2 linked regions of the Cricetulus griseus genome follow. The protein of the gene in region 1 interacts with the protein of each later gene in a pairwise test. Links are inferred from orthologs where the notes say so. Each region holds a gene or a part of one and is shown on either strand. Other genes may lie near its edges. The genes, in order: Ccdc116 and Bex3.

Region 1 (6,558 bases):
TTACTCTTCCCAGTGTTTACTGTTGCTAAGTTTCTGGGCATTGTACCATCCTTCTATTATTTTCTCTATGAAAAGAAACACACACCTACTCTTCTCCATCACTCAGGGATGCCAGGTTATTTCATTCTTGCAGTGTTGCTTTCTTTGTTTTTATGTAGTGCCTATGAGCCCCTCTTATTAGGTGTTTTATATTTGTTTCAAATAGTTTGTTCCTCACTGTTTCTAAGGGGAGGCTTTTTCTTAGTACAAGTTCTATTTTTTTTTTCTTCCTGAGACAGGGTTTCTCTGTGTGACACTGGATGTCCTGGAACTCACTCTGTATTCCAGGCTGGCCTTCCATCTGCCTCAGCTTCAGCATGCACCACCACTGCCTGGCCCTAAAAGCTCTACATAATAAGAAAATAATCATGCAAACCAGTGGCCACACTGGAGAAAGTGTTAGCCCATTTCCACCCTGAGCTTCAGGTAACTTTTGCCTCACTTTTGCTCTTTGCCCAGTAAAGTAGTAAAGTAGTTGTTTCTTCTTCTTCTTCTTCTTCTTCTTCTTCTTCTTCTTCTTCTTCTTCTTCTTCTTCTTCTTCTTCTCCTAGAACTTACTCTGTAGACCAGGTTGGCCTCGAACTCACAGAGATGCACCTGCCTCTGCCTCCCGAGTGCTGGGATTAAAGGTGTGTGCCACCAATGTCCAGCTCCCAGTAAAGTTTTCTTACCCATGACTTACCAATAGTCACCATGGTGACTGCCAGTGTTTGCTTGGTAATGTGGCTGTCTTGATATTGTTTTGGAAGTTTTATGTATCCCAGGCTGACCTCACTATTCATTCAAGTAGCTTCTGGTTTATGTGGTGCAGGGAACTAAACCCAAGACTTCATACATGTTAGGCAAGCACTCTGCCAGCCTGTCTTGGTTTCTCCTTGTAGAACCTGTGTTACGTGGGTCAAGCCTGTGATATTGGTAATTTTGTTTGTTTCATAGCCAAGGCAGTGGAAGATTCACCAGAGAAGTAAAGCAGGAACTTCTCTACAGGTTGGAGCCTGACCTATTCTGGTTCCCTCCATCCTGACTGACCCCCTGGATCACAGGCAGAGGGGAAAGAGTACAGTTTAATCATTAACAGTACCTGATGATGCTTTGTAAGGGTTGGAGGCCTCAGAGAACCCTTCAGCCAAGTTCCTGGTGTAACACTGCTGTGTCCAGTCATGGTGACTGTTGAACCATCAGGTGTCATCCAGCCACTGTGTCCCTCTGGGAGACTGCTCTTGGAAAGGCCAGAGACCTTGAGGGCCTGGGCCCTGAAACCACAGATGGAGAAGAGGAAACTACTAAGCACATATTGTATCAGGAACAGGGTCATTAGAAATTAGGGCTCACTGCTTTGATTCCTGCACTAAGAAAGTACCAGCAGTTAGACAAGAAAGAAACAATGTGTCAGTGGGGGACAGGTTTGTGAATCTGTTGGGAATGACAAGCTTCTAGAATGAAGGAGGAAAGAAAAAGGTAGAGGTAAGTTTATATGGAGTTTCCATAAGGTGCAATGTGTATTGAAAGAATATTTTATGTAGCTGGGTGGTAGTGTCGAACCTTTAATCCCAGCACTCAGGAGGCAGAGGCAGGCAGATCTCTGAGATCAAGGCCAGCCTGGTCTACAGAGTGAGTTCTAGGACAGCCAGGACTACAAAGAGAAATCCTGTCTCAAAAAAACCAATATACATATACATAATGTAATACTCATCTGTGGAAGGATGCTCAGCTCAGTTTAGAGACAGTATTGAGAGGCTGAATCATATCAGCAAAAACAATACCATAAAACAGGGACAGGAAGTGAAGCTAGGTCTGTGTGGAAAACCGGGACTCTTCACGGCTTCCAAAAAGAAAGTCTCAGAAGGAAGATGCTGGCTAGTCTACACTGGATGAAAGAAACCCTGGAAGGAGGCCAACAGAGTCGTAGGTCCAAGTCTGTGCAGCGACCAGGGATGAGCTGAGAAAGGTGTTTGTGGCATAAGTGGAGGCTATGACTTTCACCCTGAGGATTAGAGAAACAAGACCCAGATTCAGACCTCTTGGCAGAGTAAGTCAGACCTCTAAAGATCCCCAAGCACTGCTTAGCCTGCGTGACAGAAAAAGCCAGCCAGGTTGGGGAGGAGCCAATGTGGGCCCCACCCCAAACCATTGTGGGAAGATAATGAACGAGAGACAAGATTCTGACCAATCAGAACAAAGTATGTAAATGAGCTCGCTGAGAGGCTGTGCGGGGGAGTGGCATTCCAGGGCACTGTGCGGCAGTCCTTAATAGGGTGCTGCTGACCCAGTGAACCCCGAGAAGCACGCACAGAGAAGACTCTGGTAAGCAGGTTGGAGCTCCAGGGCGCCTCTGGTCTGAAAGAAGGAATTTTGGACACCCCACCCCCACCCCCGTCCCAGACAGTTGCAAACTGAAGGCAACCACTTGGGACTGTCCGCAGATGTTTGGTGGGTCCCAGCAGGGGAAGGGTGGGATGTCTGAAGGACATAGGGTACAGGAGTGAGGGACCCATGGAGGCCCGGATCTACCTTTACTACCCCTCCCCGCCCTATTCAGAGGAGTCTGCATCTGTGCTGTGGAACCTGAGAAAGGAAGCAAAACACAAATTTAATTACCCACATCATGGCAAGGTACCACCACCACCACCACCACCACAACCACCACCACAACCACCAGGCAGGATATCTGGCTGACGATGAAGGTGGTCACAACGCCTACATGGCTCGGGTAAGTATGTCTAGCTGACCCGACATTAGTGTCTGGGCCACTTTCCACTGCTTTCTCATTTCCAGTTGATCTCACTGGGTCAGCTGGAGACACCCTTGTTGTAGCTTTGACTCCCCTTAAGCCATCTTGCTACGCCCTGATCATTCTTTCACACCCTATTCTCCTTGGCCCTCAGGTAGTTCTTGGGTGGGCTAGGAGCCCTGAGAAGGAGCATGGAGTCAGTTTGGGGACTCAAGGTGGAAAAGCAGTTTCAAGTCCTCAAGGTAGCAGAGCAGAGAAGACAGTGCAAATTTGTACTAGAGGCAGGAGGAGGCAGAGAGGGAAGATGGTTCTCACAATTGCCCTTTCATACCATGAACACAGGTTTCCATTTTCAGGCTCCCAGATAGGCCTAGCATATATGAAATATAGGATTGGGGACCTTCAGGCCAACTTTAGTAATATCCTACTTTGCAAAGAAGTCCCGAAGAAGGGCTGCTCTGAGCACTATCACCCAGCCTGAAGGTAGCAGAGCTGGAATTCAAACCCAGGATTACCTGACTTTTAGTGTAATTCAGAGCTGGTAAGATGTCTCAGTAAGTGAAGGCATTTGGTCTCAAGGCTGATGGGCTGAGTGAATCCTCAAGATCCACATGAGTAGGAGAGAACCAATTACAACCAGTTGTCCTTTAACCTCCACTGTCCACTGAGGCACACATATACCCACACACGTACACACATAGCCACAAGTAAATGTTAAAAATGTTTAAATGCAATTCAGTGGTTGAACATTTGCAGAGCATGTTCAAGACCCTGGGTTCAACCCCCAGCACCAACAAACTTAAAAAAAGGAAAAAGTCTTTTCCATTGCTCAAACCCACCCAGCCCTCAATAGCACCCTAGGGGCACTCCAGAGATAGCCCCTACCCCTTGCAGAGCATCCTGCCTGCTATGACAAGCCTGTCTGTTCAGATGCAGCTGCCCAAGAAGCACCGGTTGCCAGGAAGGGAGCCAACCTTCAAGTCTGGACATGTGCCGCACCTACCATCAATGTACCGATACTCAGAACACCAGGGCCAACAGCAAAATCTTAGGCCCCCTCAGGTGTTTGGCACCTTCCTGGATTTCCTGACAGAGGGTCAGGTACTGGACAGCTTGCAGACAGTGGTGGAGAAGGCAACAGAGCATTTGGCTGCCACCAAGACGGAGGCCGGAGTGCCACTGGTGGACATACAAGACCCGCTGGAGGCGCCAAGTGATAGGCGGACTCGTGCCAGACGCACTGTGCATCGACACCATGCTCGGCCCACGCTGTGTGCTGGGCACCCAAACAATTACCCATCTTGCTCCAGCTCCATGTCCGACTCCCACAGCAGCATTTCAGCTGGCTGGCTGGGCTCCCATAACCAGGACACTGCTCCTGGTCCCCGTGGCATAGGCTCACTGCCACCTATGAGGGACAAACTCCTGCTTGAGAAAAACCTCAAGAGGCTACTGCGACTTGAGAACAAAGGGGTGAGATCTGTTGCCATGGCTAAGGCTAGCATAGGGTGGGCCTGAGCTTAGGGCTAGGGTTATACCTGGCTGAACACCTCAGCCTTCCCCTCTCTTTTGCAGAAAGGCCTGAATCATTCCTGCCCCCAGAGGGATTCTCTACCGTGGGATTCACTGGACAGCCAGACCAGCAGTCAGTGGACCCGAGAGCAGCCCCTGTCTTGGTTCTCTGGGCTTTTGGGCTCCAACTCAGCCACCCCTGAAACATTGGGACTTGGAGAACAGGAGATGATTTTCCTCAAAGAAGAGTTGACCAAGGAGATAAAGTCACTGCTGAACCAGCCAGCATCGTTCAACCTGCCTGTGTATTGTTCACTCAGGGAGCCCCATCGTACCCTGGACTTCCTGGCTGAGCATCGTCTCTTTCCTGCCCTGCAGCGTGTAGTCAGCCAGGCGGTAGACAAGCTCAGCCATGCCTGCCGCCATAATGGCTTCCCCCTCTTCCCTGTTGACTCAGATCCCACCCCAGTGATGCCTGGGGACTATGATCTTCTGCAGCAGAACGAGTCCAAACCCAACAGCAGGGATGGGGAGGAGCCTTCTGATTCTCCCACCACAGTCTCCAGCCCTAAGACATCTCGCAGGAAAAGCAAGGGCAGACGGGACTCCCCCTCCATGTCTAATGCCCAGATGACTACCAAATTCAGGCTCAAGGTGACACCTGCACAGGTGCCTAATGTCCCTAGCCCCTCATTCCACTCCATGCAGGAGTTCCCTGACTCTGATCCCAAATTACAGAAATCAACTTTGGCCCCAAGGTACAATCAGCTACCTCATCCTCGTCATGGCCTGCACCTCACCCTGCCTGACCCTGGTATTAGAGTGGAGATGGCCTCCTGCCAGGGCCATCTCAGGCCCCCGATCCAGCATTGTCTTGCCTCCCACAGCCTTCTTCCCTCCCATACCCATTTTCCTATGTTCTCCCCATTCTGCTTCTCCCCTTATTCTACTACAATGTGTCCAGAGCTGGCTGCAAGAGTAGGGCTGGAGGTCTTAGAGGGACATTTGCAGGGAAATGGCTCCTTTTCCCACCACATCTAGTAGCCATTGTCATTGGTTGATGCCCAAGGGCAAGATCTCTTGCCTTGCATTGCAGAAATCTCCTGGAGTAGATACAAGCTTCTGGGGATGGAGAAGCCTAGTCTACCTATTTCCCCAGGGGATGTCAAAGATTAATAAAGGCTATTTTTACCCTTCAATTTTTTTTTCTGAGACAGGATGTCATGTAGTCCAGGATGCTCTCTCAAATTCATTATATCCTTGCCTTTACTTCCCAAATGCTGGGATTACAGGCATGCATCACCATGCCTGCAATTTGGGTATTTTTTAAAAATTATTGTTTGAACTACCCAAAACAGGGTTTCTCTGTGTAGCACTGGCTGTCCTGGAATTTGCTCTGTAGACCAGACTGACCTATGGACTCAAAGATTCCCCTGCCTCTGCCTATCAAGTGCTGGGATTAAAGGCATGCGCCGACACCACCTGGCTTTGTTTGTGAATCTCAGAGTCTCTCCCACATGTCTCTTATGGACAGGAACCTTTGCCAAGAGCACCACTCTATTCTAGGGTCAAGCCAGGTCAAGCTATCCTAATCCAGCGATGACTAGTCTTTCTGCTCGGTAAAGGGGACATTGGTCAGGAAATGTGTATGAAGACATAGGTGGCCTGACCCTTGGAGGTCATGGACATCTCTGAACCTACCATCATCAGGGCTCAAATGTAATTCCTTCTGCACACAAGCTTGCAGGAGCACAGGCTGGCCAGGCTGGCAGGCTTTGCTCTAGACCTGACAGGTGAGGCCTGTGGAATGACTGTTGTGGCAGAGCAGGTGTGGCAGGTCTGTATCCCAGTGCAATGTGTGTGGCTTCCCTGTCTGTAATGGGGAGGATTGGTACAGCTGCCAAGGAGGGTATAACAATGCACTTTCACAGGGCAGCAGGAGGAATGGCAGCAGCAAGAGCTAAATGTCTCCTTTTTCCTCCTTGCTTGTTGCACAGAGCCCCAGCACCAAGCTTCCGAAGAAGAAACCTCTGCCGTCCATCTCATCTGTGTCTAGCTTGTCCTACATCTCTAACCCCTGGTTTGAGGAACTCACTAACTTTTTGATTGAGCAGGCAATCTCCTTGCTTATCTCCAAGTACAAGTTTGAGGAAAGCCTCAATAGTCAACTTGGCTTCGTCTCCTTTCCTGTCACTGAGGTTCTCATGGACATCTTTCTGGGCTTCAAGAAGGTGAAGGGCACCCACATCCGTCTGTCCTCAGACATCAACTGGACC
Region 2 (5,875 bases), on another chromosome or scaffold:
TTTCTCCTCTGCTTTCTTATAGAACCTAGGACCACCTGTCCAGGGGTAACACTGCCCACAATTGGCTTGGTTGGTCCTTGAACACCAATCATTAAACAAGAAAATGGTCACAAGCTTGCCTACAGTCCAATTTAATGGAGGCAATTCCTAAATTGAGGGTCCCTCTTTCCAGGTGACTCTGGTTTGTATCAACTTGACAACTCACCAGCACACCATGCTTAAAAGTAAAGGCAAGTACTAAGCTGTAATCAATCAAGCTGTCTCTCCACCTCAGCTCTGTTTTCTGTACATTCTCATTTCTGTCCAAAACATGTGGCATGACCATGTTGAAGAACAGCATCTCTGAACCTGTTTGGGCTTTATGGGCTTCTTAGTTTGTAAATTATTCCTTTGTTCCAGTTGATCAGTTTGTCTAAACTTTTTCTTTTTTAAAAAAGGAGTCTTGTTACCTGTGAGACAGAGTCCAGAAATGACGAGCATTACTTTAAAAGGCAATTGCTGCCTCTGATTTTGCAACTTGAGATTTTGGAGCTATATGGTAACATCTCTAAACTCATAATTTTAGATGTAATATACAAACCTTAAGACACCAAGCATTTGCATTTTACTTCTCCAGTATCCCGCCTTATTTATCAGGAGAGGAGACAGTATAGTGGGGCCCAACTGCTACCTCTCATAATGAAGTTATTAAATTGAAAATAACAACACTATGTTTCCAGAAAACTATCTTCTAGCTGTGATAATTTTTTAAAAGAAGATGATTTCAATGGCGAGCCTGTCTGGGCCACAGAGTGAGACTTAGTCTCAAAACAAACAAATAGCCAAAAAACAAAAACAGTGATTTCAGGGTGGAAGAAACAGTTGTATTCAGGATGAGTTCTGGTATAAATACAATTGCTTCGTTCATCTTTTGCTTATTTCTAATATTTTTGAAACATTCACACCAGAGTAGGAGGTATGGGGAGTAAATTTCTAGATTATTTTCTATTTCTCAGTTCATTAAATATTTAGAGAGTAGTTTGAAAGGTTTGGAGAGGAAAGCAAGGAATTAAATGGCTCTTTTTCCTGAGGATTATGGACTCAGAGAAATCTCATATAATACAGGCACATGGGAGGCAGAGGAAGGAGGCAGAGGCAGGAAAGATCACCCCAAGTTTGAGGCCATTCTGTTTGATAGAGTGAGTTCCAGGTCAACTGGGACTACATAGTGAGACCCTTTCACAAGAAATCATAAAATTATGACCTCTCTGAAGGAACTATTTCAGATCAATGTTAAAGCATTAGCTGTATTCAGCAAGAGCCCCTCCTTCTTAAAATAAAAAAAAAAATGAAACAGACTAATACAAAACAGCCATTCAAAACCTAGAGAATGTATTTTCTGTGTGATACAAACAGGTTAACATAAACAAGTTTTTTTTTTTTTTCGTTCTGCAGAATGAAGCATTTCTTTCAAAGCTGAAAAATTCACCAGCCTTGGTGGTGCAGGCCTGTAACCTTAGCTACAAGGGAGGCTGACCCAGGAGGATTGAAAATTCAAGTGTAGCTCCAACAACATAGACATGCACTGTCCTCATTTTTTTTTTTTTTTAAGTTTAAAAAGTGTGTGTGGTGGCAGGGCTGGAGTGGTCTGGGAATACAGCTCAGAAGAGAGCTTGTCCAGCAATTATGAGGCTAGAGAGAGGATCTATCCCTGACATTCCAAAAAGGAGTGACCCTTATAATTTTCAATTTTCTCAAGCATGTTGTGTGTGTGGTTTTTTTCTTTTTAAGGAAGTAAAGAGATGTATGTACAATCTACACTATTCTCCACTTCAAGGTGTCTGTTGGGAGAGGTCTTGGGGAAAAAATTTGGCTAAGGTGGAGAGGAATCTCAAAGAAGGCTAAAGCCAAGACCTGGCTATAATGGGGGGCGGGGGCAGCAGAGATGGAGTATGGTGCAGACTCTCCCTGGTAACAGGGAAGGGAGAAGTCCAACCTCCAGACGGTGATGCCACTTGTGGGTCTTCAGATTGGCGAGGATCTGGATGAGTAGAGGGTGGGGCCTGAGGTGCTCGCTTGCGGCGGGGAGGTGGAGGCGGGGCCTCCTGTCGCACTGGCCTCCTGAGCTGGGGAGCGAGCTTGGCGGTGACGCGGGGCCCTCACGTGACCTGGGGCTGCAGAGCGACGCAGCCTTGGGTGCAGTCGTCACTTGTGTCTGGCCACCAGCTCGGTGCTTCCCTGCGCAGGGCGGGCTGGCATCGGGCCCTGGGCGAGCGGAGCAGGTAAGAGGCCCGCACGCAGCGGCCCTGAGGACGACAGCCTCCGGATGCTCCGGAGCGCTCTGTAGGACCGTGCAGCGGCCGCGCGGCTTTCTGCACGGAAAAGAGAACAGTGGCTGCGTCCGGGAAGGGGCGCCTTGCTTGTGGAAGGGCATGGCGGGGGTCTCTGGGAAGGGCTGGTTGGGCCTGCTAGCGGGAAAAAAAATGCTAGACCTGGCATTGGAGAGCGGCGAAGGGAGCCACTGGCTCATAGAGATTGCGGGCGCCCAGGTAGGGGGATGGGCGGGGGGCGGGGGGCGGTACTGAGCTCCGCGCTGAGTCGCTCCCATCCCACCCTGTTGCAGGTCTAGTAGCAGAGTCGCGGCGGAGCCGGAGCGTCTCGCAGCGACAATTGAGAAGAGGACTACGCGGCACGGGATAGGCCCAGGTCGGTTCAGGGGTAGTGTGTGTCGGGGGGGGTGGGAGGGTTCGGCTGGAGGAGCATACGGGAAAGCCCTGACTGGGATCCCACTGAGACCCCCCCCCCTCATCCTACTCTCCATCTCAGTCCTCCATTTTGGTGCCTGCAGAGCTCAGGGAAAGGATCCTGGGAAATAAAAAATGGTGGGCTTTGGAGGAGGGAGGGAAAAGAGAGCTGGGGGGAGGGGCTCGAAATGGACGCTCCCTAAAGGTTGCCTGGAGACTCTTAAGATGTGGGGGGAAATAAAATGATAATGAAAACTTTTGTTGTTAGTCTCGGAATATTGCTGGTCAGTGCACCAAGGATTCAGTTTCTTTCCTTGCCCTGTCTTACTTGTGTTCAAAGAATAACAACCAGAAAACAAAATCTCATCATGGCAAATATCCACCAGGAAAACGAAGAAATGGATCAGCCCCTGCAGAATGGACAAGAAGATCGCCCTTTGGGAGGAGGTGATGGCCACCAGCCTGCAGCAAACAACCACAACCGAAGAGGACAGGCTCGCCGGCTTGCCCCTAACTTTCGATGGGCCATACCCAATAGGCAGATTCATGATGGGTTGGGTGGAGATGGAGATGATATGGAAATGTTCATGGAGGAGATGAGAGAAATCAGGAGAAAACTTAGGGAGCTACAGTTGAGAAATTGTCTGCGCATTCTTATGGGGGAGCTCTCTAATTACCATGATCACCACGATGAATTCTGCCTTATGCCTTGACTTCAGCCATTTTCCATGAGATTCATACTGTGATTCCCAATGTATTCCTATTCCTTGCATTTTCCTGACAATGCCTTTACTAATCTTTGTGGTGAGCCTTGTGTTATTTCCATGTGCCAGGTGGGTTTTTGTGTTGCCAGCTTCTCTAACTGGAGATTGCCTTCCCACTCAGTGTACATTTCTGTCAACAATACAGTGTTGCCCATTTGCATGGAAAATGTAAAGTAAATAAAGCAACTGAAAAGCAATCTGAATATTTATTATCGTCTCCTTAAAGCATACATACTTACATAAGAAATGAACCACAAAAATTCTGAAATTCAACAGTATTGGGGATGGGGCGGGGGCGGGGGCACATGCATATAATTTTCCTTTTGTTTGGAGTTTCATAAACTTTTTCAGTGATGTTATGAATTTATTACAGGTATATATTTGCTCAACAAAGTTAAGGCATAAATCCTCATAAATACAATTTCTCAAGAGTGTCCTGTAGTCTCTTCTGTGACGTAGTGGTGAGTGGAGTTTTGCAAAGGTGTGGAATAAATGAGATCAGGTGTGGGGATCTGCTGGCTTAGGTTTTTCCCTACTTGTTAGCCGGCATTCAATAAGCCCAGGCCTCCAGCCCTTACCAAATAGTTGGGGAGAACTGAGGGGAATCCTCAGTCCTTGCCCATTCTCCCAATTCCATACAGGAAAAAGAGGTGTGTTCCTCCATGTCATTTGTATGTTGCAATTGCACTTCTCTGCTTACAGGCATATGATTTAGGCAAAAATCTCCTTCTGATTCCTGTTTTCTGTAATGGGGATGACATGCCTGCAGTCCTCTGCATAGCTAAATCTAATTTGTTTAAAGTATGTAGTGACTTCGGTATGATAGTGTGGAAATGCCTTTATAACTTGACATATTTATCTAGGTGGATTCAATCCCTATGGTTCTTAAGAAAGTAGCCCTTTCTGGTATTATTTTTGTGTTCCCATTTAAAAAGCTCTGGCATGGGTGCAGTGGGGCCTAGCACAATAGATAGCAGATGTCTTTGAGGGTTATGCCCAGAGCTGCATTACTGTAAACCTCCAGAACACAAATAGGCTAACAGCTTTATGGTGGTTCTACCCTGCATGGATTTCCCTTAAAGCAGCTCTCAGCAGGTCTGCCCCCCCACCCTCCCCCAGTTTAATGGACTTCCTAGAAACATCAGTTTCATTGGGGAACAGGCATTCTCTGGCTGCATCCTGTTTGTCCCATCCATACCAAAACATAAATGCCGCTGTGAGCTCTTTTTTTCACTTGTTTAAAATTTAAAGCCAATCTTTTCTCATTTTACATACCAATCCCAGTTCCCACTCCCTCCCTCCTCCTGTTCGCCCCATCTTCACCCCACTCCACCCCATTCAGTCCTCAGAGAGGGTAAGGTTTCCCGTGGGGAGTCAAGGAAGTCTGGTGCACACACACCTCTTTAAGGCAGTACTGAGGCCTTGTATCTAGGCTGTGAGAGTATCCTTCCATAGGGAGAATTGTCTCTAGCTCATGCACTAGAGATAAATCCTGGTTCCACTGTGAGCAGCTCAACAGACTGCCCAAGCCACACAACTGTCACCCACATTCAGAGGGCCTAGTTTGGTCCTATGCAGGATCCCCCACCCCTGTGTCAGTCTGGAGTCAGTGAGCTCCCACTAGCTCAGGTCAGCTGTTTCTGTGGGTAACCATTTTGGTGATACCCACAAAAACCATTGTGAGCTCCTAAAAACCATGTAAACTATTTAATTTATGATTTTTATGTAAAGGTGTATCCTCTAGACAGTAATATTGTCTCAATTTTAGTTGAATAGTCAGTGCCTGACAGAGTAATCGGAAATTGTTGATTATTCTGATAGGCTAAGTACAGTGGAGTTAGAAACCCTGTTTGATACTGTTCCTAATTGACTCTATGAAAGAAGGCTAGTAATCACTGATCTGGGAACTTTAAAACAGCACCCCAAAGAAAGTCTTTAATCCCATATGCAAAAAATTATAGACTTTATAATATGTTCGTGTTTATGGGAATACAATGCACCTACCTGTACACATAAGGGAAACACTAAGATTGAATTCTTGACACTTGGGTGCCCTTCTCAGCTTTGTTGTCCACTGTTAGCAATCTCTAAATCACAGATTACTTTTATATCAGTGACCCAGTTGATTTTTCATGTCTTAAGTTTTGACAACATAGGTACAAAGAAACTGTCGGAAATCTCACCATTTTACAAACATGATCTGAATTCCTTTACTTGATTACACAATGAATGTACAGTTCTAAAATTATTAAATTGGACTATATTAAATATTCAGTGTATGAGTATAGTTTAAGCTAGTACTGTCTTTAATTTTTAAAATTGTTTGGTTAAGTTACTGCATTACTACTAATAAATTTATGATACTAAAATTATGCATTATACTTTCTG

What was found.
Region 2: the proteins of Ccdc116 (region 1) and Bex3 interact in binary tests that used the Homo sapiens proteins (3 or more experiments, as listed by UniProt). The two-hybrid records come from large-scale screens. The link is inferred for Cricetulus griseus from reciprocal best matches to the Homo sapiens genes CCDC116 and BEX3.

The regions. Positions count from the first base shown.
Region 1 is NC_048597.1:72,177,554-72,184,111, forward strand, and holds the start of Ccdc116 (coiled-coil domain-containing protein 116), read left to right. Parts: upstream 1-2,545; 5' UTR 2,546-2,644; coding exon 2,645-2,749; intron 2,750-3,706; coding exon 3,707-4,243; intron 4,244-4,345; coding exon 4,346-4,936; intron 4,937-6,279; coding exon 6,280-6,558.
Region 2 is NC_048604.1:44,091,877-44,097,751, reverse strand, and holds Bex3 (protein BEX3), read left to right. Parts: upstream 1-2,101; 5' UTR 2,102-2,261; intron 2,262-2,602; 5' UTR 2,603-2,685; intron 2,686-3,063; 5' UTR 3,064-3,091; coding exon 3,092-3,436; 3' UTR 3,437-3,684; downstream 3,685-5,875. UniProt on the Homo sapiens protein: May be a signaling adapter molecule involved in NGFR/p75NTR-mediated apoptosis induced by NGF. Plays a role in zinc-triggered neuronal death.